Linked DNA regions of Diceros bicornis minor. The protein of the gene in region 2 interacts with the protein of the main gene of each other region in a pairwise test. Links are inferred from orthologs where the notes say so. Each region holds a gene or a part of one and is shown on either strand. Other genes may lie near its edges. The genes, in order: SLC15A4, GLP1R and CD81.

What was found.
Region 1: the proteins of GLP1R (region 2) and SLC15A4 interact in a protein complementation assay, tested with the Homo sapiens proteins (2 studies listed by BioGRID). The link is inferred for Diceros bicornis minor from reciprocal best matches to the Homo sapiens genes GLP1R and SLC15A4.
Region 3: the proteins of GLP1R (region 2) and CD81 interact in a protein complementation assay, tested with the Homo sapiens proteins (2 studies listed by BioGRID). The link is inferred for Diceros bicornis minor from reciprocal best matches to the Homo sapiens genes GLP1R and CD81.

What each region holds. Positions count from the first base shown.
Region 1 is NC_080774.1:3,579,360-3,587,279, forward strand, and holds the start of SLC15A4 (solute carrier family 15 member 4), read left to right. Parts: upstream 1-4,897; 5' UTR 4,898-4,931; coding exon 4,932-5,456; intron 5,457-7,920. UniProt on the Homo sapiens protein: Proton-coupled amino-acid transporter that mediates the transmembrane transport of L-histidine and some di- and tripeptides from inside the lysosome to the cytosol, and plays a key role in innate immune response.
Region 2 is NC_080753.1:26,132,892-26,139,829, forward strand, and holds the start of GLP1R (glucagon-like peptide 1 receptor), read right to left. Parts: upstream 3,002-6,938; coding exon 2,990-3,001; intron 1-2,989.
Region 3 is NC_080770.1:2,345,080-2,352,680, forward strand, and holds the start of CD81 (CD81 antigen), read right to left. Parts: upstream 3,039-7,601; 5' UTR 2,906-3,038; coding exon 2,840-2,905; intron 1-2,839. UniProt on the Homo sapiens protein: Structural component of specialized membrane microdomains known as tetraspanin-enriched microdomains (TERMs), which act as platforms for receptor clustering and signaling.

The DNA.
Region 1 (7,920 bases), on a different chromosome or scaffold from region 2:
TCCCAAGGAGAGTCAAAAGATGGATGACATGGCCTGTGGCTCTGAAATGGCTACTGACTTAGGCCATGGCCTGATGCATAAAGATGAGCTGGGCCTATCAGAGGCCCTCTGCAGGGAACTGGGAGACCAGAAAAGCAGAAGCCTCGGACATGAGAGCTGACACTGAGCTGTCGTGACGTATGGAGTAGGTGCTCAACAGTTATTTGTTGACTGAACGAGACAGTGATGTGCAGATGGCACAGAAAGTCTGTGATGGGTACTTGGAAACCAGCCTTTTGAGGAAGCTGAAATTGGGAATAAGCAGCTGCAACTGTCTGGCAGCAAGGGGTGAGCAAGGCAGATGTGAAACAGGAAGCAGAAATGTCGTGAGAAACGCTGGAGGAATTAGATGGCCCCTGAAATGTCCTCCGTCTCTGATGGCTTCTGGATTCACTCCATCAGATAGCATCTTCTCTGAGCTCCACTCACTGAGCAAGGCACAAGGGCCAGAGAAGGAAGGGCCCTGCATTTCAGAGCAAACAGTGCATTTCCAATTCTGGTCCACACTGCAAGCCTCCTTGCAGTAAGGTCCTCTTTCCCAGAAGGCCCTTGAGGTGAAGAGGCTACCCACAAAACTGTGTTTTGTAAGACAATGTTACCCATCCCCTAGACACCTGCTGTATGAGTCAGGTCATTATTTATTTGATTATTTTAGGTGCAGAGACTCATACAATTATTTTCAAGAACAAAGGTGTATTACAAGTATACCCAACCAAGTGGTGAGAGTCGACTTACACCAATTCCTTAGCCGTACAATCATTGGGGCTCAGTACAGGGGCTGCAAACCGACTGATTACAGGGGCCAGGCAGAAAACTCTAAGACAAATTAGGCGAGGCATGAGAAAAAAGTCCAGTTTCCCTATTGTTCGTTCTTTTATTTTCCCACTTTTTGGTAGAATCACAATAGGCGACTTTTGGCTACAAGTAACAGAAAGCCCAACGCAGTGGCTTAAACAATATAAGATTTATTATCTTTTGTTATCTAACTTCTCCCTTATTATCTTTTGTTATCTAACTTCTCCCTGGTTCTCTACCGTGCCATCCACAAAGCTGGCTTCGTCCTAAACTGCTTCATCACACGGTTGTGAAACAGCCGCCAGCAGCAGTGAGGGCTCTAGGCTTCCTGATTCGTGCCGTTTGGAAGAGTGTTTCTCTCTCGCAGTCATGAAATCAGAGTCCTTTCCTTCAGCCTGACTGTGCCAATTATGTCCCTTGTTCTCTCCTGGGCCCCAGGGGAATTTCACGTTCTGATGGTCAGAGTCCAGGCTCCTGAACTCGTCACTGTGAAGAGGCATGAGAGAGTAGCATTGGTTTGACTAGTCGGATCCAGAAATGAAGATGAAAGTCCTTTCTCCTGAGCCACAGGGGCAGCTGGTTGGGAACAGGAGTGGGGTGAGGAGGACAAATAAAGACCTAAATAGAATCAGGAGTCTGTTTGGAAGGAGAAAGGGGGTGTGGCTATTGGATAAGCAATCAATAGCGCTAATCACATATTAGTATAGAGCAGGGCTGTCCAACAGAACTTTCTGCAATGGTGGAGTTGCCACGTACTGTGCCATCCAATATGGTAGCCACTAGTCACATGTGGCTATTGAGCACTTGAAATGTAGTTGGTATGATTGAGGAACAGAATTTTTCATTTTATTAAATTTGAACTAATTTAAGTTCAAATAGCCACACGTGGCTAGTGGCTACTACACTGGATAGAGCAGATACAGAGAACACTTTCCCTACTATAAGAAAAATAAGACAACAGAGCATGGGGAGGATTTGTGTGCCCCACCTAAAGACAGCAGCTGCTCCCTGGTGTCGTCAGAGAGCGGCCATGGGGGAAGCAGGTGTGCTTTCATTACCTGATGATGCACAACAAACCTACCCAGAAGTTAGCAGGTTAAAATCAACTGTTTTATTTGTTCACGATTCTGCAATCTGGGTTGAGGCTCAGCTGGGCACTTTTTCTGTTGGTCTTGCTGACAGTTATGTGCGTGGCTTCACTCAGCTCGCAGGTTGGCTGGGAGGCTGGGGCAATGGGACCCCCTTTCCACGCAGCTGCAGAGTCTCCCTCCATGTGTGACCTCTCCAGCCAGGCAGCTGGACTTCTCACATGGTGGTTCAGGGCTCCCAAGGCACAAAATGGGAAGCTGCCAGAACTTCTTACGGTTTAGGCCCAGACCTGGCCCAGGAACACTGCTGCCACATTCTCCTCGCCAAAGCAAGCCACAGAGCCAGCCCTGCGCGACGGTGACCTATGAAGAGTACGTAAGGGCACAAGTGCCAGAGATGTGGTTCAAGCAGAGTGGGAGGTGGTCACTGGTGTAACAGGCATCCGCAAGTCCCAGTGCTGCCAGAGCTCCAGTTTACTCTTTCAACAGCAACAGGGCATCCAAATTGATACGTGAAACCTCCCAATTTTTAACCCTTAGCTCATTTTTTTGGCAAGAGCCCTACTGAGACATAATTCACATACCATATAGTTCTTCCACTGAAAGTGTACGATTCAGTGGTTTTTAGTATGTTCACAGAGTTGTGCAACTATTACCACAATCAATTTTAGAACATTTTCATCACTACAAAAAGAAACCCCATGCCCTTTAGCAGTCACTTCCCCGTCTTCCCATCCCCCCAGCACCTGGCAACCACACCACCAATCTGCACTCTTTCTCTACAGATTTGCCTATTTTGGACATTTCATAAGAGATGGAATCTTGCAATATGTGGTCTTGGCTCTTTTTTTTTTTTTTAAACACTGCAGCCAAACCCAAACATTTCTGCCTGCTGGCTTTGTTTTGCACCCTCAGGGTATCAGAGACTGCAGTGCACAACAGACCTCCCCAGGACCAAGAACAACTGCTCAAAACTCCTCAGGGTACATCCTAATCTCTGAAACCGCCTCCCCTCCCTTTCTTTCACTTAGCTTTAGGCTCCTTTTTTTTAATTTATTTTTTTTGTGTGTGAGGAAGATCAGCCCTGAGCTAATATCCATGCTAATCTTCCTCTTTTTGCTGAGGAAGACCGGCTCTGAGCTAACATCTATTGCCAATCCTCCTCCTTTTTTCCCCCCAAAGCCCCAGCAGATAGTTGTATGTCACAGTTGCACACCCTTCTAGTTGCTGTATGTGGGATGCGGCCTCAGCATGGCCAGACAGGCGGTGAGTCGGTGCGCTCCCGGATCCAGATCCGAACCCAGCACGCCGGCAGCGGAGCGTGTGCACTTAACCGCTAAGTCATGGGGCTGGCCCAAGGGGGGGGGGGTAGTTTTTTAGTGAACTTAGCATACAAATATATGCCGCAGAACGCCACAGGAATATAAAAAAAAAATAGGTGAACATAACATGTTCTTCGGACACCATTTACAATTCAACAGGTATTCATTCATTCATTCAGTTAATTCCACAAATATTTATCATTGGCAGGTACTGCGCTACATTCTAGGTATATAGCAGGGGACAAAACAAGCAAAATCTCTGCCCTCCTGGCTTTGAAGAGAGAGATGTTTCACAAAATAAATAATTATAAATTATAATGGGTGCTGTGAAGAAAAAAGCAGAGCATGCTCTAATCACCTATAAAAAGAGCTGATCTAATCTGGGAGGATCAGGAAAGTGACCTCTGAGCTGACAGCTGAAGAGGACCAACATTAACAGGCAGGGTGGCGAAAGTCCTGTTCTGGCATCAACTATTCTCTCCTTAAATATTAAATATTTACCTACTGCCTGCCCTGTGTCAGCACAGTGCTGGGCATCTAGAGGTCAGACGTAGGAAAATACAAAAGTTAATAGTACATGCTACTTCAAGCCTTTTTGGAAGGACTACTTACCCGGATGACCCACAGGCAAGCCCACTTCCCAGCTGACGGCTCCATCCTGGTCTTAGCTGGAGTTAAGGATGGAGGAAGGAAGAGGAAATGGCCTCCCACTAATTCAATCATTGCAGCGTGGTCCCAGTTTCTGCAGCGATGCCGGGGTCTGTTTTTGGAGGACCCTCTTCCACCCCACCAGGTGCCAGGCAGTTGGCAGGTGCCGGGGACACGGTAAGGAACAGGACACCCAAGAACCTGCCACCATGGACCTTATACTTGTGGGGACCGCATACAAGCTGGGAAGACAAAGCAATAAACGAAACACGTGGCAGGTGCTATGGAGAAACTAAAACAGGGCAGTGGGATGGGGGTGGGAGCCACTTGAGATGGCCTGGTCAAGAAAGGCTTACAAGGAGTCAACACTTGAGCTGAGGGTCGAAGGAAAACGGGAAGCCAGCCGTGTGACGACACAGGGCCTGAGCCTGGCTTGTCCTAGGTCAGAGGTTCTCAGTGGGGGCGACTTTGCTGCCCACGGGACACTCGGGAATGTCTAGGGACACTGTTGGTCGTCAAAACTGGGGAGCAAGGGTGGAACTGGCATCTAGCGGAGAGCAAAGGCTGGGGACGCCTCTGACCGTCCTCCGAGGCACAGGACAGCCCCCACGACAAAGAACTGTCCACCCCCATATCAACAGTGTGGAGGCAGAGACCCCCGTCCTGGGGCGGGGCGGCAGGAGGCTGGGGCGCAGGGGCGGGGCCACCTGAGGAAGTCAGCCTGGAGGGCAGGCGGAGCCCCGAAGCCACCGTACGAAGTCTGGGCTTTCGAGGGGACGGTGGAAAACCTAGGAGAGCAAGGCTCTGATTTCGCTTGTCACTGACTTCTGGGGGCAAGACGGCGGCCATGTTGCCCCACTGAGGCGGAAGCGGGAGCCCGACCGGGACTTCCGGGGTGGTGCCGGAAGTCCCCGTCGGGCTGCGCGGCGGCCAGCCCGGCCAATGGGGACGCCCGCGGGGCGTGCCGCGGCGCCGGCGGGGCCGGTCTCGCGAGAAGGGCGGCGGCGGCGGGCAGAGCGGCGGCGGCGGCGGCGGGCGCATGGAGGGCGCGGGCGGCGAGCGGGCGCCGCTGCTGGGCGCGCGGCGGGAGGCGTTCGCGGGGCGGCGCGCGGCGTGCGGCGCCGTGCTGCTGACGGAGCTGCTGGAGCGCGCCGCCTTCTACGGCGTCACGGCCAACCTGGTGCTGTTCGTGAACGGGCCGCGCTTCGGCTGGGAGGGCGCGCAGGCCAGCCAGGCGCTGCTGCTCTTCATGGGCCTCACCTACCTGGTGTCGCCGTTCGGGGGCTGGCTGGCCGACGCTTGGCTCGGCCGCGCGCGCGCCATCCTGCTCAGCCTGGCGCTCTACCTGCTCGGCATGCTGGCCTTCCCGCTGCTGGCCGCGCCCACCACGCGCGCCGCGCTCTGCGGGGCCCCGCGCCCCACGCGCGTCCGCAACTGCTCGGCGCCGGCCTGCGCGGACGAGCCCTCCCGCTACTGCGCGCCCGCCGTGCTGACCGCGCTCGCGATCGTCGGCCTGGGCGTGGGCGCCGTCAAGGCCAACATCACGCCCTTCGGCGCCGACCAGGTGAGCGCGCGCGGGGCGGGGCCGCAGGGGCCGGGCGGCAGGTGGGGCGAGGACGCGTGAAGCCGAGCGCCAGGACAGGTTGCCGTAGGCGCTGGGGAGGGGTCCGCACGGGGCGGGGCGTAGGGGTGGTGGCGAGGGGATGAGCTCCTTTCCACTAAGGGGCCATTGGGGAGTGACGACGAGGGTGGCTGCAAATAGCGGGGGCTTCCTTTCTCTTGGGGGGACATATGAGTGGAGACCTGAAGAGTGTCAAAGGAGCTTTGGGGCTTGGGGATCAGCAAGTGCGAAGGCCCTAGGGCCGGGAAGACAGGGACGCCGTCCTTGCTGCTGTAGTAGCTACAGTGGCAATCATGTTGCAGTGCGTAAATGTATCAAGTCACCAAGTATTGTACACCTTAAACTCACACAAGCTTATGTGTCAAGTATATTTTAAGACAAAAGAAGTGGGAAGAGGGATGGTAGGCAGGGGCCAGGTCCTCTAAGACTTGTAAAAGAGTTTGAAGTCTGTTTTGAATACAGTAGGAAGGCTTCATGGGGTTTGAGCAAGGAAGTAATGTGATCTGATGTGTATTTCCAGTACAGGGGCCTGGCAGCTGTGGCCTGCCAGCCAAATCTGGTCTACTTCCTGTTTTTGGAGGACCCACAAGCTAAGAATAATAATGGTTCTTAGGTTATTAAACGGTAGGATGAAAGTGAAAAGAATATTTTGTGACAACTTATATGAAACTCAAATTTCAATCTCCATAAATAAAGTTTTATTGGAACACAGTCCTGTTTACATATTGCCTATGCTGTAGCCGCTTTCACAGTACAGTAGGAGAATTGAGTGGTCATGACCGAGACTAGGTTGTATGGGAAGGGATGACAGTAAGCATACCAGGTAGGAGTCTGTTACGCTGGCCAGGTGAGAGCTGGAGATTTGGACTAGAATGGAGGCAGAGGACATGGAGTGAAGTGGGTGGATTTAGGATAAGTTATGGAGGTAGAGTGGGCAGGAATTGCTGGAGGATCATATGTGAGCCGTAGGGACAATAACTCCTAGGTTTAGGTGCTAAATACCCATATGATTGCTAACATTCACTGAGGGCTTACTATGCACCAGGCCCTGTGCTAAGTACTTTGTGAGTGCACAGGACACCGCTGCTGTTATTGTGCCCGTTTTACAGATGAGGAAACTGAGGCTTGAGAGGTTGGATCATTAGACAGCTGGTACATGAAGAGCCAGGATACAAGAGCCTGTCCTTTGAATCTGAGCTTTGACCATACCTGTGTAAGGCTGTCCGTTATACCTTATAATGTTGTTGGAAATAGTAGTTGCCGGATGTCCTGAATTCTCCCTTCTCTGCACCATAGAATGGGCTTTATGTACTCAAACTCATTTGAATCTCCTCATGTGAATCTTACAGCCATTTTTCAGATGAGGACGCGGAGGTGCAAAAAGAGATGCTTTCTTTGTTGTCCTGTAGGTAGTGAGTGGTCAGGCCAGCGTTTTAGTCCAGGTCTGATGTCTTCATCTGTATTTGAACCACGGCACCAAGATGGGCGTTGCATGATGGTGCAGCAGAAGCACAGTCGGTGCAGAGATGATCTCAAGGCCCAGGTGTGTGGCTTTGGCCTCAGGGTGCCATCGGCTCACAGGCCAGCAGTGAAGTCGCAGCACTGGGAGCACAGTTCTCCCTCTTTAAAGACCAGGCCGCACAACTGAGGGGCCACATGAGTTGGTTATGCCCGAGAGTGTACTGCGTGCTCTTCCTACACTGTCTTATCCCAGCCTCACAACAATTGTGTACTGTAATTGTCCCTGTTTTACAAGAATCAGAGGCTTAGAGGGTTTGACCTGCCAGGGCCACAGCCATTGAGCGAGGGAGATGGGTTTGGACCCAGGCAGTGCAAGTTAAGAGTTAGTGCTCTCCAGTAGATGAGAGACAAGTAATTAGTATTTCTTAAAAGAATGAATGGTCCTGTAGAGGTTATCTAGAATGCATGGCAGAATATGCACTCTTGATGTGTAACTAAATGTGGATGTTAAAAGGATGCTCTGTTCTACAAGGTAACTGGCCTAATCTCTTCAAATACGACACTTTGATGGAAAAAAGAGGACCACTCTAGATTCGAGGATATTAGAGAGACTTGGCAACCAAATGGCACGTGTGTTTTGTGGTTGGATCCCAGATTTTTTTTAAGCCATTTTTGGGGACAATTGATGATTTGATTATAGACCACATATAAGGTAAAATTGCATTGATGTTACGTTTCCTACGTGTGATAATGGTTTATGGTCAAGAGAAGATTGGCCTTATTATTAGGAGATTCATGGTGAAGTCTTTGGGGTGAAATATCATGATGCTGCCACTTATTTTTAAATAGTTCAGCCTAAAAGAGTATTTCATACATATATATAGAAAAAGAGAACTGGGGATCTAAGTGAAGGGTATAGAAGTGTATGTTGTACTGTTTGGTCAGC
Region 2 (6,938 bases):
TGTGTCTCCCCTCAGAATAGGGCTCCCTGAGGGCAGGGCTATGTCTTCCCCTCAGACTGGGGCTCCCTGAGGATGGGGATGTGTCTCCCCTCAGACTGGGGCTCCCTGAGGGCAGGGCTATGTCTTCCCCTCAGACTGGGGCTCCCTGAGGATGGGGATGTGTCTCCCCTCAGACTGGGGTTCCCGGAGGGCAGGGCTGTGTCTCCCCTCAGAATAGGGCTCCCTGAGGGCAGGGCTATGTCTTCCCCTCAGACTGGGGCTCCCTGAGGGCAGGGCTGTGTCTCCCATCAGACTGGAGCTCCCTGAGGGCAGGGCTGTGTCTCCTCTCAGACTGGGGCTCCCTGAGGGCAGGGCTGTGTCTCCTCTCAGACTGGGGCTCCCTGAGGGCAGGGCTGTGTCTCCTCTCAGACTGGGGCTCCCTGAGGGCAGGGCTGTGTCTCCCCTCAGACTGGGGCTCCCTGAGGGCAGGGCTATGTCTCCCCTCAGACTGGGGCTCCCTGAGGGCAGGGCTGTGTCTCCCCTCAGACTGGGGCTCCCTGAGGACAGGGCTGGCTCTCCTCAGACTGGGGCTCCCTGAGGGCGGGGCTGTGTCTCCCCTCAGCCTGGGGGCTCCCTGAGGGCGGGGCTGTGTTTCCCCTCAGACTGGGCTCCCTGAGGGCGGGGCTGTGTCTCCCCTCAGACTGGGGCTCCCTGAGGGCCGGGCTGTGTCCCCCCTCAGACTGGGGCCCCCTGAGGGCAGGGCTGTCTCTCTCTCTCTCCCCTCAGATAGAGGGGTTCCTGACAACAGGGATCCTCTGCCTTCTCCCTGCTCCAGCTCAGGGTCTCCAAATACTGCTCACCCCCACCCCCAACACACACAGCACGCACTACCCAGACCTCTGCTCTCTCCCCACTTGGTGTCTCTGGAAGCCACTGCCGTGCCAGGCTTTGGGTGGTGGTGCAGGGTGGGGGGACATGTGGAACACAGAAGGACACAGCCCTGGCCTGAGAGAGTCCCCAGACTATTTGGGGGTGAGGTGGGGTCAAATGCTTTGCAGGACCTAACAGAGAAGGCTGTAGTAAAAGTGCTCCGGGAGTGGTTCGGGCAGGGCTCAGTGTAGATGGAGAGCCCTGGGGGACCCTGGGGACAGAGCTGGGGGTAAAGCAAGGGTGGGTGGGGGAAAGACTGGGCTGGCAAGGGCAGAGGGTGGGCATTTCAGCAGGAGGGCTCAGCAGGGACAAAGTTGCAGAAGTGGGGACACTGATGCTCTGGGGAGCTGAGGAAAGCCTTGAACTGATGTTCAGGAAGAGTTTCTAGACCAGGGAGAGAGCGGTGGGCTGCACCTGGGACAGATGTGAGGCTCTGGTCTGGGACAACGCTGGGGGCCATGCAGTCTGAGGGGGAAGTGCAGCAGTGCCCAGGTGCCCAGGTGACACAGAGGAGGGGGAACAGCCCTGGCTTTGGGCTCAGATCCGCACCTGATCCTGGCTCCCCCATAGATTAAGGTTGTGATCTTGTGTAAAAGTTCTAAGTTCTAGCCTCAGCTTGCACAGGTGCCACATGGGAATAATAATAGACCCTACCCTCCAGGATTGTTGTGAGAATTAAGTGAGTTAATGCTTAGAACGGCCTCTGGCACATGGAAAATGCATAGTCAGTGGCAGCGGTTCTCAAGATTTCTGCTGGCAGAGTGGACCACCGGGCAGCCTGGCTTCCTGGGGAATCTGGGCCCCTCCCCTCCCTCACTTCTAGGATCAACAGACTCCCAGAAGGAAGAAATGAACATATTTTCATGCCCAAGGACCAATCATTCTGCTCAATTTGTGACATCTTCCAGCAGCAACCACAGCCAGTGTCAAAGCCAAGTGGCGACACTCGGGACTCCATGCCCATGGGCAGGGAACTGTGAGGAGGGGCAAGGCCCTGGCCACCAACCCCTGCCCCATTTCATCCTCCTGTGACATTTGTCCCTGCTGCAAGCCGCTGGGTGGTGGGGAGGACACTGTGGCGGATGCCCCTGCCCTCACAGGGCAGCAGAGCTGGCCCAGAGAACAAGGCAGCCGTGAGGGGCGTAAGAGGCCAGAGTGAGGGTAGGCCGGCAGATTGTAGAATCAGGTCTTGCCAGGCTTCATGCGGTCTCTCTGATGGGGATGAAGATGAACGGGGACAATGCCTGGGGTAGAGCTTACAGTAAGGAGGGGGTGGATTTAGGAGTTTGAGGAAGAAGCAGGTGGTGAGGAAGAGGATGCCAGGAGAGAGTGGTGTGCAGGAGAGAGAGCACTGGACAGAGAGTCACGAGTCCTTGGTTTAAATCCCAGCTCTGTCTGTTCAAGTGGGACTGATGGGACACATTTTAATCTTTTGGGGCCTAAGTTTCCTCATCTTAAAACGGGCATATCATTATCCTGAGAGAGTTACTGTAGAGATCCAGCAAGACAAAGTAGGTGAAAATCTTCATGAATTATTAAGCCCTGTACAAGTGGGCCGTGTTGGAAGGAGGACGAGCAGAAGGAGAAGAATACAGATGGAGTGGTCGCTCTCAAGACCTTGGCCTCCCTGGCCCACTGAGGTGGGAAAAATGGAAGAGGGCATCCCAAGAGGAGAAAGTGGGCTCCAAGGACGACTGCTGGGACCTCCCAACTTGATGCAGCCCTTCACCTTCCCCAGTGCCTCCTCCCAGGACTCCTAGCCTCCTTCCCCTCTGCCCACCTCCCAGAGCTCAAACCATCACCCCATCACCGCTGGCCCCGGAGCCCTGCAGGGGTGGGGTGGCCGGATCCCCGGCTCTTTGAAGTCATTTTTTTTTTTCTTAAGGGCTTTAGATATCTGAGCAGAAGGGCAGGGCAAAGAAAACTGTACACACGTTCCCACATGTGTAAGAACCCTCACATGGATACACGGTCACACACACTATCACACACACTGTCCAGCACATTCTTACATACTGACACACTGACACAGAGCCTCTCTCACACACACAAACACACAGACTGTCAGGCACACACTCACATGCTGAGACATTGCCCCTCAGTGCACACACACACAGACCCCTTGACTGATGTATACTCAGCTCACACTGTCACACACACACATCCAGAGAAAGACCCACACATTCTGTCACAAGCACACCATCTCTCACCCACACATGGACACATACTGGCAGACACCCGTTCACACACTAAGGTGTCACACACAAACATATACACACACACATAGACCTTCCCATAGACACAGTATCTCACACGGGGACACAAACACATATACACTGTCAGACACACAATGACATGCTGAGATGTTTCACACAAGTGACTCCCACACAGACAGACTGTCACATACAGGGTCACGAACAAATACAGAGAAACGGGGGCTCATATAGCCCACCCCCATCTCCCGTGGTCTGTCTCTCTCTACCTATCTCTGTCACTGTATCTCTATATCTCTGTATTTGTCTATCACACACACGCACACACACACACACACAGAGGAATCTGCCCAGGGGCAGGCTGCAGCTAAGGAAGGGCCTGTTTTTCCTCAGAGCAAGGCATCCGAGAGCAGGATGCGGTTTCTTGGTTGCTCCTGCCCAGGGTCTATGTCCAGGAGGGAGCCCAGCTCATAATAAAGTCCATGCGGATGGCTACGCCCCCTGGCCTCCAACCACCCTTCACTAGAGCGCAGAGGCATGGGGCGACCAATGGCCCCTCTCCCAGCCCTGTTCTGCAGCCCGGAGAGGCTTCCAGATTCCCAAGTGACTAAAGCTGCCACTTCAGGGTGCCAGTGTCTCAGTCCTCTCCATAACCCCATGTGGTAGAGCTTGTGATCCCTATTTACAGATGAGGAGACTGAGGCTCGGGATGGTCAAGTGTCCTACCCAAGATCACCAGCCAACAGCAGACCTGACACTTGAACCCAGTTTTGTCTGGTTCTAATTTGGGGTGTCAAAGGCTTGCCGGTCTCCTCAGTAGAGCAGCTCCCTCACAGGATTTTGGGGAGGAATAGAGGAATAGAGAAGGGGGGTGGTCCCTCCCAGCAACAAGAAAGGAGTGGCCTAGCTCCCCTTCTTCAGAGGTCAGTTCAGCCATCTACCCGCCTGCAGGGAAGCGGCTCCCAGCCTGGCCAGACCTGAGAGTGGACAGGACAAGTGGGTATTAGGCACCAGCCCAGCCCTGCACCCCTTTCTCTTCTCTGTTCCTGAAGTGCTGGGTCACCTTACACAGAGAACTCTCTTTTTCTGAGCTTTTGTCCTCCCATCAGTGACATGGAGGTAGTAACTCCAGTCTTGCAACCTCATGAACAGAAACTAGAAGGCAAAATTCACCATTTTTTAGCTTCTTATACATGGACATGAAGTTGTGTCACAATCATTGCAGTCTAACCTCAAAGCCCCTGTCGCTCAGGTCTCTGCGGCAGCCAGGGGTGCTCAGTGCCCCTGAACAAGAGCATCCTCCGAAGCTCCACCCTCCCTGCTCAGAGCCCATCTCCTCCCGCTGCCCTGCTCGGTCACCCCAGGCCTCTCATGGCCCCAGGATATTCAGCTCTTGCCTCAGGCCCAGGGCTGAGAAATAACGAGGACAGAAGGAGGGGCAGGTTCAAGAAGCCCGACTCCTCTGGGAAAGAGAACTCTGGGGAGGAGACAAGCAGCTTCCAGAACCTTTCCACTTCCCTTTCCTCTCTTCCCTTAATCCATACTGGGTCTGCAAACTTGGCCTGGAGCAGGATGGGACCAGGTAGCAGAGCCTTCCACCTCCATCCCATGCCAGCCTGGAGGAGGAGGTGAAGGTGACAGAGAAGTGGGTAACGGGTCTGCGGTCCTGGCTCCCAAAAGATCCCAACTACACCAGGGAAGCCAAGGCCTGGCTGGGGTGTTGGGGGAAGGTGCCATGGCAGGGAGGGTGTCTCCTGGGGCTAGGGGCAGTAGCTGGGCTAGGGGACAAGGAGAGGGAGAGAATGAGTCTAGAAAAGAATTTGGGGACTGAAAATGGGCTGGCACCTTTGCTGGGAGGCACATCTGTCCACATCTGGATTCTCAGCCAGGGGTGGAGTCAGCCGTCACCAAGGCAATGGTCCCTCGTCTAGCACCAATTTCAAGGCCTGCACAGGCCCACTGCCCAAAGCTCTCCATTATTTAGGTCCAGGGGTAGGAGTGGGAAGCAATGGGACAAGACAGTTCCCTGACACAGGATAGTCCACCCCAGCCTCACCTCCCCTCTGCCCAAGCATCTCACAGCATCTTTGGACAACTCCCCTCTCCAAAACTGGCTGACAACAGCCCCCAGCCCAGGAGCCTGGGGCAGGAAAGGCAGGAAGGAGAAGAGGACCACACAGGGAGCTGCAGGGGGCTGCCACCTGTGGTCTGTTCTCCGGTGGCACCAAGGAGGCCAGGGTGCCTCTGCGTGTCCCAGTATGCGCCCTGGTGTGTGTTGTCAACCTGGGGGGTCAGGTGAGTGTGTGAGGGGGGCCTGGTTGCTTCCGGAAGAGCAGTGAGCCTCTTGCGTGTTTGCTGCAGCGGCTGGGGGAAGGGGGGCACTCAAGTTCCATCTGGGAGGTCACAGGGAAGGACAACAAGCCGCCACCGCAGGGTCTTTGGGGCTATGAGTCAAAGGCTGTGCTGAGGGGCCGGGGAGGGGGGAATGGAGCTGGGGGTCCACACTCTGGGCCTCTTCTCCCTCCCAGAGCCTTCTCAGGGTCTTTGACCAACGGGGCGGGTTGAGGGGGTATGCACCGCGGGGGAGGGGTCCGGGGGGTAGAGGGAAAGGTGAGATCGGGGAGGGGGCGAGACCCGGGCGATGCCGGGGCCGCAGACACAGGTTTACGAGGAGAAGGAGTCGGGAAAGTGGTCTGGGGAGAGAGACGCGGCGCAGAAGTCCGCGCAGGGCGGCTGCGGGGCAGCTGATGCCCGGCAGAGGGGCCCCGGCGGCGAGGAAGCGGGCGCCTCGCCGGGGCTGGGACAGTCGTCCGCCGTCCAAGCGCCCACCTCGGCCACCCAGTCCAGGGCGCCCAACTATCCAGTCCCTACTACCGCCAAAGCTTTCTGTTCCCTCCTCCTGCGGTCGCGGAGTTTCGCTCAAGTCCCGCCGCCCCTGCCAGGACACTGCGCCTGCAGCCCGCAGCGCCACCTGCCTCCCCCTTCCCCGGGGTCCGCGGGGCTCACCTGGGGGCGGGGGCCGGCCCTGCCCAGCGCCCCGAGCAGCAGGAGCGCGAGGCGGAGCGGGCCGGGGGCGCCGGCCATGGCGGGGCGCTCAGCACCGGGCCATCGCTGCCACCTGCGGAACCGCGCGCGGCGACTAATCCCGGGCGGGTGGCGGGCGGCGGGCGCCGGGGGAGGAGCCGGCGCGGGGCCGCCCCGCCCGCGGGGGGGCCGGGCGGGGTCCCGGGTCTTCCGCCCCGGCCGTCGGAGGTCACCGGGCCGCCCCGCCGCGTCCTCACCCCGTCCCGGGCCGGGAGGCACCGGGCCCCGCGCTCCGGGTGGGCGCCGCGCGGGGTTGGGAAGCGCAAGACCCGGGCCGCCGGCTCTGAGCGCCGCCGGGGCGCTTGCCCTGCCCCCCACCCCCGCACCCCGAACCTCCTCCCAGGTTCCCCTGGCTAAGGAAAGCCAATCCACACCCCCCTATTCAGGGTACTGCAAAGGAAACTGAGGCCGGAGGAGCGCATGGGACTTGTCCAAGGTCGCACTGCCTGTCAGACCCCTCCCGGAAAGTGTAACCCCAAGAGCTGCGAGTGACTAGTAAGAAAGATCCACCCAGCGGGGTTACCCCCTTCCCAAGTCCTCTCCTCATTCCCGGGATCTGTCCCGAAGGCAGTCCTGGGACAGCCAAGGTTGGGGGCAGGAGTGGGGAGACAATGACAAATGGAACAATGGAGCCCGGAGGGCGGGAGGGTCTGAGGTTCCCCCCACTCCGGCAGCCCCCACGGCCCTGGCGCTGAATCCCTGGGCTCTTAGAACCCGTGTGCCCCTGTGATG
Region 3 (7,601 bases), on a different chromosome or scaffold from region 2:
GAATCTGAGTGCCCACTGCCGCCGCCAGGAATCTCCTGGTCCCACCCCAGGGGTAGGATCTCCAGGAAGGAGCGTCTGCACTGTCTCCCCCGCCCAGGCCGGGTGGCTGCTCTTGTCTTCCTGTCCTGTCCCCACCTCCCAGCCCGGTGCCTGCCCAGCCAGGGAGCCCCAAAGCAGGCTGTGGGCAGGCAGGCTGACTGCACACTGCACGGGGCCCTGGGGTCTCTGTGCAGAGGGTGGGGGAGCAAGTATGTGTGTGGGCATGCAGGGTGACCGGGTTCCTCTTTGCAGAAGCATGCCAGACTGCCTCTGATGCCTCCTCCCACGCGGGAAGCCTTTTTACTCTCTAATACGGAACTTGAAAAAGTGCCCCTATCCAGATACCTATTATCAACCTCTCCTCCTGGCTCCTGCCCTCAGCACCCCCTTACTGCACTAGGGCCGGGGTGCACGGTGAGGAGTCAGGCTAGGCACCAGGAGCCCTCCTTCAGCCACTGGGCCCTGCAGGAGCCTCCCAGGCACCCAAAGCCCCTTCCCCGAGGCACTGCCTACACCAACAGGCTTGGCTCTCCTTGGCTGTCTTCCCGGCCAGCCACCTTGCCCAACATCCATTTCCTGAGCGTGGCCTCTACTCCCATTAGCTGATCCACCAACAATCCCAGGAGAGAGGAGTCTGAGGACTCCCACTTCAGAGGGGAGGGAGCTGAGGCCCAGGACCCAGAGCACCAGAGCAGTAGAGCAGTGGGGTGGGGACTCCACCCGGCCAAACTCGCCCCTGCACCATGCTCTCAGCCAAGAGATGCCAGGGGGCAGAGAGCAGCTCTGACACGGTGGTGCCCGGCAGCCCCGCCTGGCTCAGCCCAGCATCTCCCCACTGCAGGGGGTGGCCCAGCATGGGTGGGTGGGGCCATGGTGACTATAGATGGCTCCAGTTCTCAATGTTCAGCTGGGCAGGCCCCAGGAAGGGAGAGGAGAGGCCTTGGAAGCATTTCCTTAAGCCTCAATAGAAAGCGGGCCGGAATGCAAGGCCTCCATCCCAGCTGCCTGGGAAACTATCAGATTCAGCCAGGCTGAGCTCCAGGGGTCCCGTCCTGGAGACCTCCCAGGCTGGGCAGGTGGGAGGGACTTGCCACCCGCACTGACACCTAGCCCCGCACTGACATCTAGCCCCAGGCAAGAATCCACTCCTGGAGAAGTTCCCTTCCTCTGCCTCCCCTCCACCTCCCCACCGGGGTCCTCGCCCCAACATCCAGGCTTTGCTTGTAGGGGATGGGCTCAGGGGCCAGCCGAGAGGTGTCTGGACGTTGTTCCCCACTTGCCTGGGCCAAAGGAGGCAAACACCAAATCCACACCGACACCACCCCAGGTAGGATGTGACACCCCATTCCACCCCCAGCTAGAGTTTAGTCCAGTCTCTGTCCTCCCCACCCCAAATACCTCACTGCCCCGAGATCTGCCCTGAGATCACCGGCCGTCCAGATGGCAAGCACATGTCCCCAGTCCCACACACTGGCTCCAGGGGCCATTTAAAAAGTTCACCCTCCCTGCGTCAACTTGAAAAATACGCCACCCCCCAGGCATCACCCTGGTCCTCAGTGGGAAGGGGTGAGCAGCCTGGGGTGGCAAAGCAGCAGTGAGGGGGCCCGGCAGGGGGTCCTGGTCACTGCCCAGGGGAGCACTGAGAGGAGGCAGGGCACGGCCATCGAGCGAGCTCCTGACACCCATCCAGGGGCCTACCAAGCCAAAAAGAGATCTCCACCCCATTCCCCATTCCAACATCGACAGCAAACAGAAACAAAAGCAAAAGCGTCATCAGTCACTGGGCAGAGATTAAGAATAAGGTCAGGAAGACGCAACTCTCAGGCCAGCAGCCTGGGGACCCCGGGGAGACCCTGCCGCACCCAGAGATGACCACCCTGTGGCGCTCCTCTTTCCAAAGTGGATGCCCAAGCCCGGATCTGGGCACCCACCCGGACCCAGGCCCCCAGAGTTCAGAGGCGCTCAGGTCTTCACAGCCCCCTGCCCTGTGCCAGCTCAGAACGCAGGCTCGGACCCCACTCCCCTCAAAGCTCCGGGGGTCGAGGCTGGGATGGAATCTCAGTCTGGGTGAGGAGGGCAAGAGGACCGGACCACACAAACCGGGGCCACTATGGTGCAAGCACCCCAGCACACGGGCCATCAGGGCCCAGGGCGCTTTCTGTCTGAGCTCCGCCCCGGGCCCGGACCCCCAGGACGATCCCCAGGATGGCGACAGCAGACTGGGGGGTGAGCTGGGCTAGGCCAAGAGTGGGGTGGACGTTCCTCAAGACTCGGACGGAGTGTGCGCAACCCCCCCGCCCCCCTCCTCACCCGGCCGACCATCAAGGGGAGGTGGCCTCGATGAGCTCATGGGGGCGGGGCGCCGGGAGCCCCGCCCTCGAGCCCCCTCTCCATCCTCGCAAAACAGGGTGGTCCCAGGAACAGCGCCAGGTGGGCTGAGCGGCGGCGGGGTACGCGGCCCAGAGCCCGCACCCACCGCAACCCCGACTATCACCAATCGGTAACAGACCCGAGGCGCCCAAACGCCCCGGCCCGGCCGCGGGGCTCTGGGCCCGGACGCGCAGAGGCCCCGAAACCCGGCTCGCAGCCCCCCGCCCCACCGTAAAGCGGCGCGGCGGCCCCAGACGGCCCCTAACGTCGCAGCCTACCGGCCCAGGACTCCCCGCCCCGCGCCCGGCGCGCACAGGTGGCCCAGCAACTTGGCGGCCCGGCTGCGCCCCCTCTGCGGGGCCTAGCGGGGCGCGCGGCCTGCGGTGCTCGGGGCGCGCGCCCCGCCCCCCCTTGCCCGGCCGGGGCTCACCCAGAAGACGAAATTGAAGACGAAGAGCAGGTACTTGATGCACTTGGTGCAGCCCTCCACCCCCATGGCGGCGCGGGCCGGTCCTGGGCGAGGGGCGGCGGGGCCGGGGCCTGGCGAGCAGCGGCCGGGGGCCGAGAGGTCGGCTTGAAAGCGACAGCGGGGGCGTAAGAGGCGCGCAGACGAGAGGCACACGGCGCAGGAGGCCTGGCCGGGGCGCGCTCGCTTTCTGGGCGGGCGCGCGCTCCGCTCCACCACTTATCGGGCGCCGCACCCTCCCCCACGCCCGGCAGGCTCCGCCTCCCGGCCCCGCTCATCCCGCTCCGCCCCGCCCCCCGCCTGCCGGGCGCGCAGGGGCTGCAGTCTGGTCCCCAGCCCGGCCTCCGCCGAGGCGGCCCGCAACCCCTCCTCCGTCGTGCCCACGCTAAGAGGACCTCAGTGCCGCAAGCACCACGGGGCTCGGACGCTCTGTTCGGCGCGCGGCAGGCGTCCCAGAGCCGCTGGCGCGCCCCGAGCCTCTACTAGGGGCTGCGCCTGAGGAAAGGCCTGCCGCCAGGGGTGGCCAGGGAAGACCTTCTCCCTCTCTCCTTCTCTCCTCCCTCAGGCTCCTTGGATATCCAAGGAGGCTCCCTGGAGGAGATGATGCGCTGGTGATGGTTATGCCAAGATAGCCGCGAGCTTTGTTTACATTGCTCGCTGGGAACAGGACCTGGGTGAAGCCTGAGTGTCAGGGGGCCTGGCCTGAAAATCCTACAGCGAAATTCTAGGCAGCCAAGCCCTTGTCCCGCGGACAGGGGGAGTTGCTGCCCGCTGTTAGAGGAGTCAGTGTTTGGAAAGGTCGCTGAGAGGGTGTCCCCTAGACCAGTGTTAAGTGTCCAGGAGGCCTAAGACACCTATAGGAGAACCTCCAAATATTGTGTATTTCATGGACACCCTGATGGTGCCAGTAGCCCAGGGAGGCCCACCCACTGCCTCCTGCCCTCACTGCCTGGGCAATGAGGAAGTGGAGAGGTGCCATATCAAGTGAGGGGCGCTTTGTCCCCAGGTGACGTGAAGATGAAGAGCTGGAAACATTGTGTGTCTGCAGGAGCCGTAGCACAAACGACCACTGACCGCTTGAAACACGGCCAGTGCCGCGAGCAAGGAACTGAATTTTTCATCGTCGTTCGTTGTAGTTTAAACGTGAGTGGCCGTGGCGGCCAGTGGCTACCATGTTAGCCAGCAGCCCGATGGTATTCATCTGTACTCTATTAGTTTCGTAGTTTTCTTGGTGGTTAATTTTAAAATTTGTTTTGGCTTCACGCTTTTACGAGAGCCATAAGCACATGTTGATACCCAGTGTTATGTTTGTGCGTGTGGAAGTGACACTAGAATAAAAATAACTTAAGTCTTCACTTGGGCATCTGCCAGGATGTGTTTTGTTGCAAAGGAGGCAGAGCAAGCCTCCGGTGTGAGGAACCCATGTCTACATGTCCTGGGCGCCCTGCTCTGCCATCAGCTCCCTGCTTCCCACAGTGATGAGGACATTCCTGCCAAAAGTGTGAACTGTATCCTCAGAGAAAGGCCTTCCCTGGGCCCTCTGGGGAGGGGGCAGAGGAGGACATTGAGCCCACCCTCAGGGAGCAGGGGCGGGGGCAGACCCATGCACGCTGCGTCCTTGCTCCACCATCCCCAAAGCAGGTCATGCCCCGCCGACTTGTCTTCCTCCTCTTCAGGCGGGCGTCAGATATTTAGTTGTGCCAGCTGTGTGCCAGGCACCATTGCACGCGCTGGCTGTGGGGAGCTGGGCAGCCAAGACCCCTTCCCTCGAAGACAGATGTCACCCCACAATGCTCATGTCAATACTGGGAAGGGAGGGAATTCCCAGGATGCTTGAAAGAGAGTCACAGAATGGGGGGCACTATTCCAGTGTGGGGGCTTGCAGGAGTGAACAATGGATCCAGGCTGTGAAGATTGAGAAGGAGGCAGCCCTGTAGGGCCTGGAGAAGAGCATTCAGGGCAGAGAGGGACAAGGTTGGAGGGACAGAAAGGAAGCCAGTGGGATGGGAGCATAGGGATGGAGAAGAGGCTAGATGCTGAGGTTGGGGGCAGGTGGTGAGGTCAGGGGACAGGTGAAGACCAGAGTGAGGCTGCGTTTGATTCTGACTGCAGTGGGAGCAGCTGGAGGGTTTCTGCAGGAGACCCTCAGGCCTGGCTTCAGACTGAATGGGAACACGGATGGCAGCAGGCTGCCTCCGCTCTCCAGTGGAACCGGCTCCCACGGGCACCTGGGGGCTCACTGGGAAATGGGCTGCAAGGGTGTACAGGGCTGCCTCCAGGTGCCTGGCACATGGGGGCTCTCCCAGGGGACCACTTCTGAAGTGCCCTGTCCAGTGGCCCATTAACTTGACCTTGTGAGGACCACAGGGGACCCACTGGCAGTGTATTAGGGCTCTCCAGAGAAACAGAACCAGGAAGAGATAAAGGAGATTTATTATGAGGCATTAGCTCATGTGATTATGGAGCCTGCGGAGTCCCACGATCTGCTGTCTGCAAGCTGGAGACCCAGGAGAGCTGGTGGTGTGATTCAGTCCCAGTCTGAAGGTCTGAGACCCAGGAGAGCAGATGGTGTAAATCGAAGTCCGAGGGCCAGAAAAGACGAGCTAAGATGTCCCAGCGCAAGGGGTGAGGCAGGAAAAAGAGTGAATTCCTCCTTCCTCTGCCTTTGTTCCATTTGGGCCCTCAGGGGACTGGACGAGGCCCACCCACACTGGGGAGGGCCATCTGCTTTCCTGAGTCCACCAGTTCAAATGCTCATCTCACCTGGAAACACCCTCCCAGACACCCCCAGGTATAATGTTTATCTGGACACCCCGTGGCCAGTCACGTTGAGACGCAACACTAAATGTCACAGGCAGCAATGAAAGGACATGTGCCAGTGTGATCCAGGGGCAGGTGGGCACTGGGGTTGCGTCCTGGGAAAGGCTCCTGTTGTCAGCCAGTCAGACGGTGGATCTTCCATCCCTGCCCCAGGATGCGTGGATGAGCACCCAGATGGGCTGCACAAAGAATGAGGGAGAGAGGGGCCAGGGCGTGCCTGAGATGGGAGACCCCTCCCTGCACTTTAACCTGAGGGTGGGTGGGGCTGATGGTGTGAGGGTCAGGTAGCGAGCAGCAGGGCGGGAAGAGCAGGCCTTTGCTGCCCAGCCGGCTTTGGCTCGGAGTCTGCCCCTCCGTGTGACTTTGGTCTGGTTCCTCAGTTTCCCCGTCTGCGGTAGAGCTACTCCTCGTGTTCTTGGGTGGGTGGAATTCGAGGATATTCGCAAGCCCATGGAGCAGGGCCTGGCCCTGGGAGGCAGGAGGTCACTGCCTCCTTTAAGCTTGTGTGACAGAGAGGCTTGTCCGCCAGGCACAGCTCCAGGGCTGGTGACTCACCGCTCTCTTGGGGGCACACACTCTGTCCTGTCTTGATTCCTGCCCCTCTGCCTTGATTTCCTGTGGAAATAAACGAGGACCACCCAGATGAAGCTGACAGGGGCTGTTTATGCCGAGCTGGCTATATCACGGGGGTCAGCCGCCCTCCCTGCATTTGGCAGAGACTCGAAGGCAGAGCTGGACGGGCACAGCTTTATAGTAATAAAAAGAAAAAAAAGGAAGAGTTTAATATCCAAAAAACAACCAATGTAATGCACCGTATTAATAGAATAAAGGACAGAAATCATGTGATCGTCTCAGTAGATGCAGGAAAAGCATTTAACAAAACCCAACACTCTTTCATGATGGAAACACTCGGAATAGAGTGGAACTTCCTCACCTGATAAGGAGCATTACAAACCCCCCAGCTAACATCATACCTAATGGTGAAGGACTTGAGCCTTCCCTGAAGACTAGGGACAAGACAAGGATGTCCGCTCTCCCTACCTGTATTCAGCATTGTCCTGGAGGTTCTGGCCAGGGCAGTTAGGCAAGAAGAAGAAATAAAAAGCATCCAGATTGGACAGGAAGGCGTAAACTATCTCTATTTGCAGATGACATAATATTGTGTATAGAAAATTCTAAGAAATCAATCTGCAAAAAAAACTATGGAAACCGACAAATGTGTACAGCAATTGGTAGGATACAAGATCAATATACAAAAATCAGTTTTATTTCTATACACTACCAATGAACAATCCAAAAATGGAATTAAGAAGACAATCCCATTTTTTTTTTTATTTTGGTGAGGAAGATCAGCCTTGAGCTAACATCCATGCCAATCCTCCTCTTTTTGCTGAGGAAGACTGGCCCTGGGCTAACATCCATGCCCATCTTCCTCCACTTTGTGTGGGACGCCACCACAGCATGGCTTGACAAGAGGTGCATCGGTGTGCGCCCAGGATCCGAACCTGGGCCGCCAGCAGCGGAGCGCACGCACTTAACCACTACGCCACGGGCCAGCCCTGACAATCCCATTTGTAATAGTGGCAAACAGAACAAAATAGCTTGGAATAAATTTAGCAGGAAAAGCATAAGACTTGCACTCTGAAAACTACCGAACTGTCAAAAGTCATTAAAGAAGACCTAATAAATGGAAAGATATCCGATGTTCACGGATCGGAAGGCTTAATATTGTTCTGATGCCAACAGGCCCCAAATTGACCTACAGCTTCAAAGCAACCCCTATCAAAATCCCAGCTGGCTTCTTACAAGCTCATCCTAAAATCCATGTGGAAATGCAAGAGATCTCGAAAAGCCAAAACAGTCTTGAAAACGAAGAACAAAGTTGTTGGACTCACACTTCCCATTT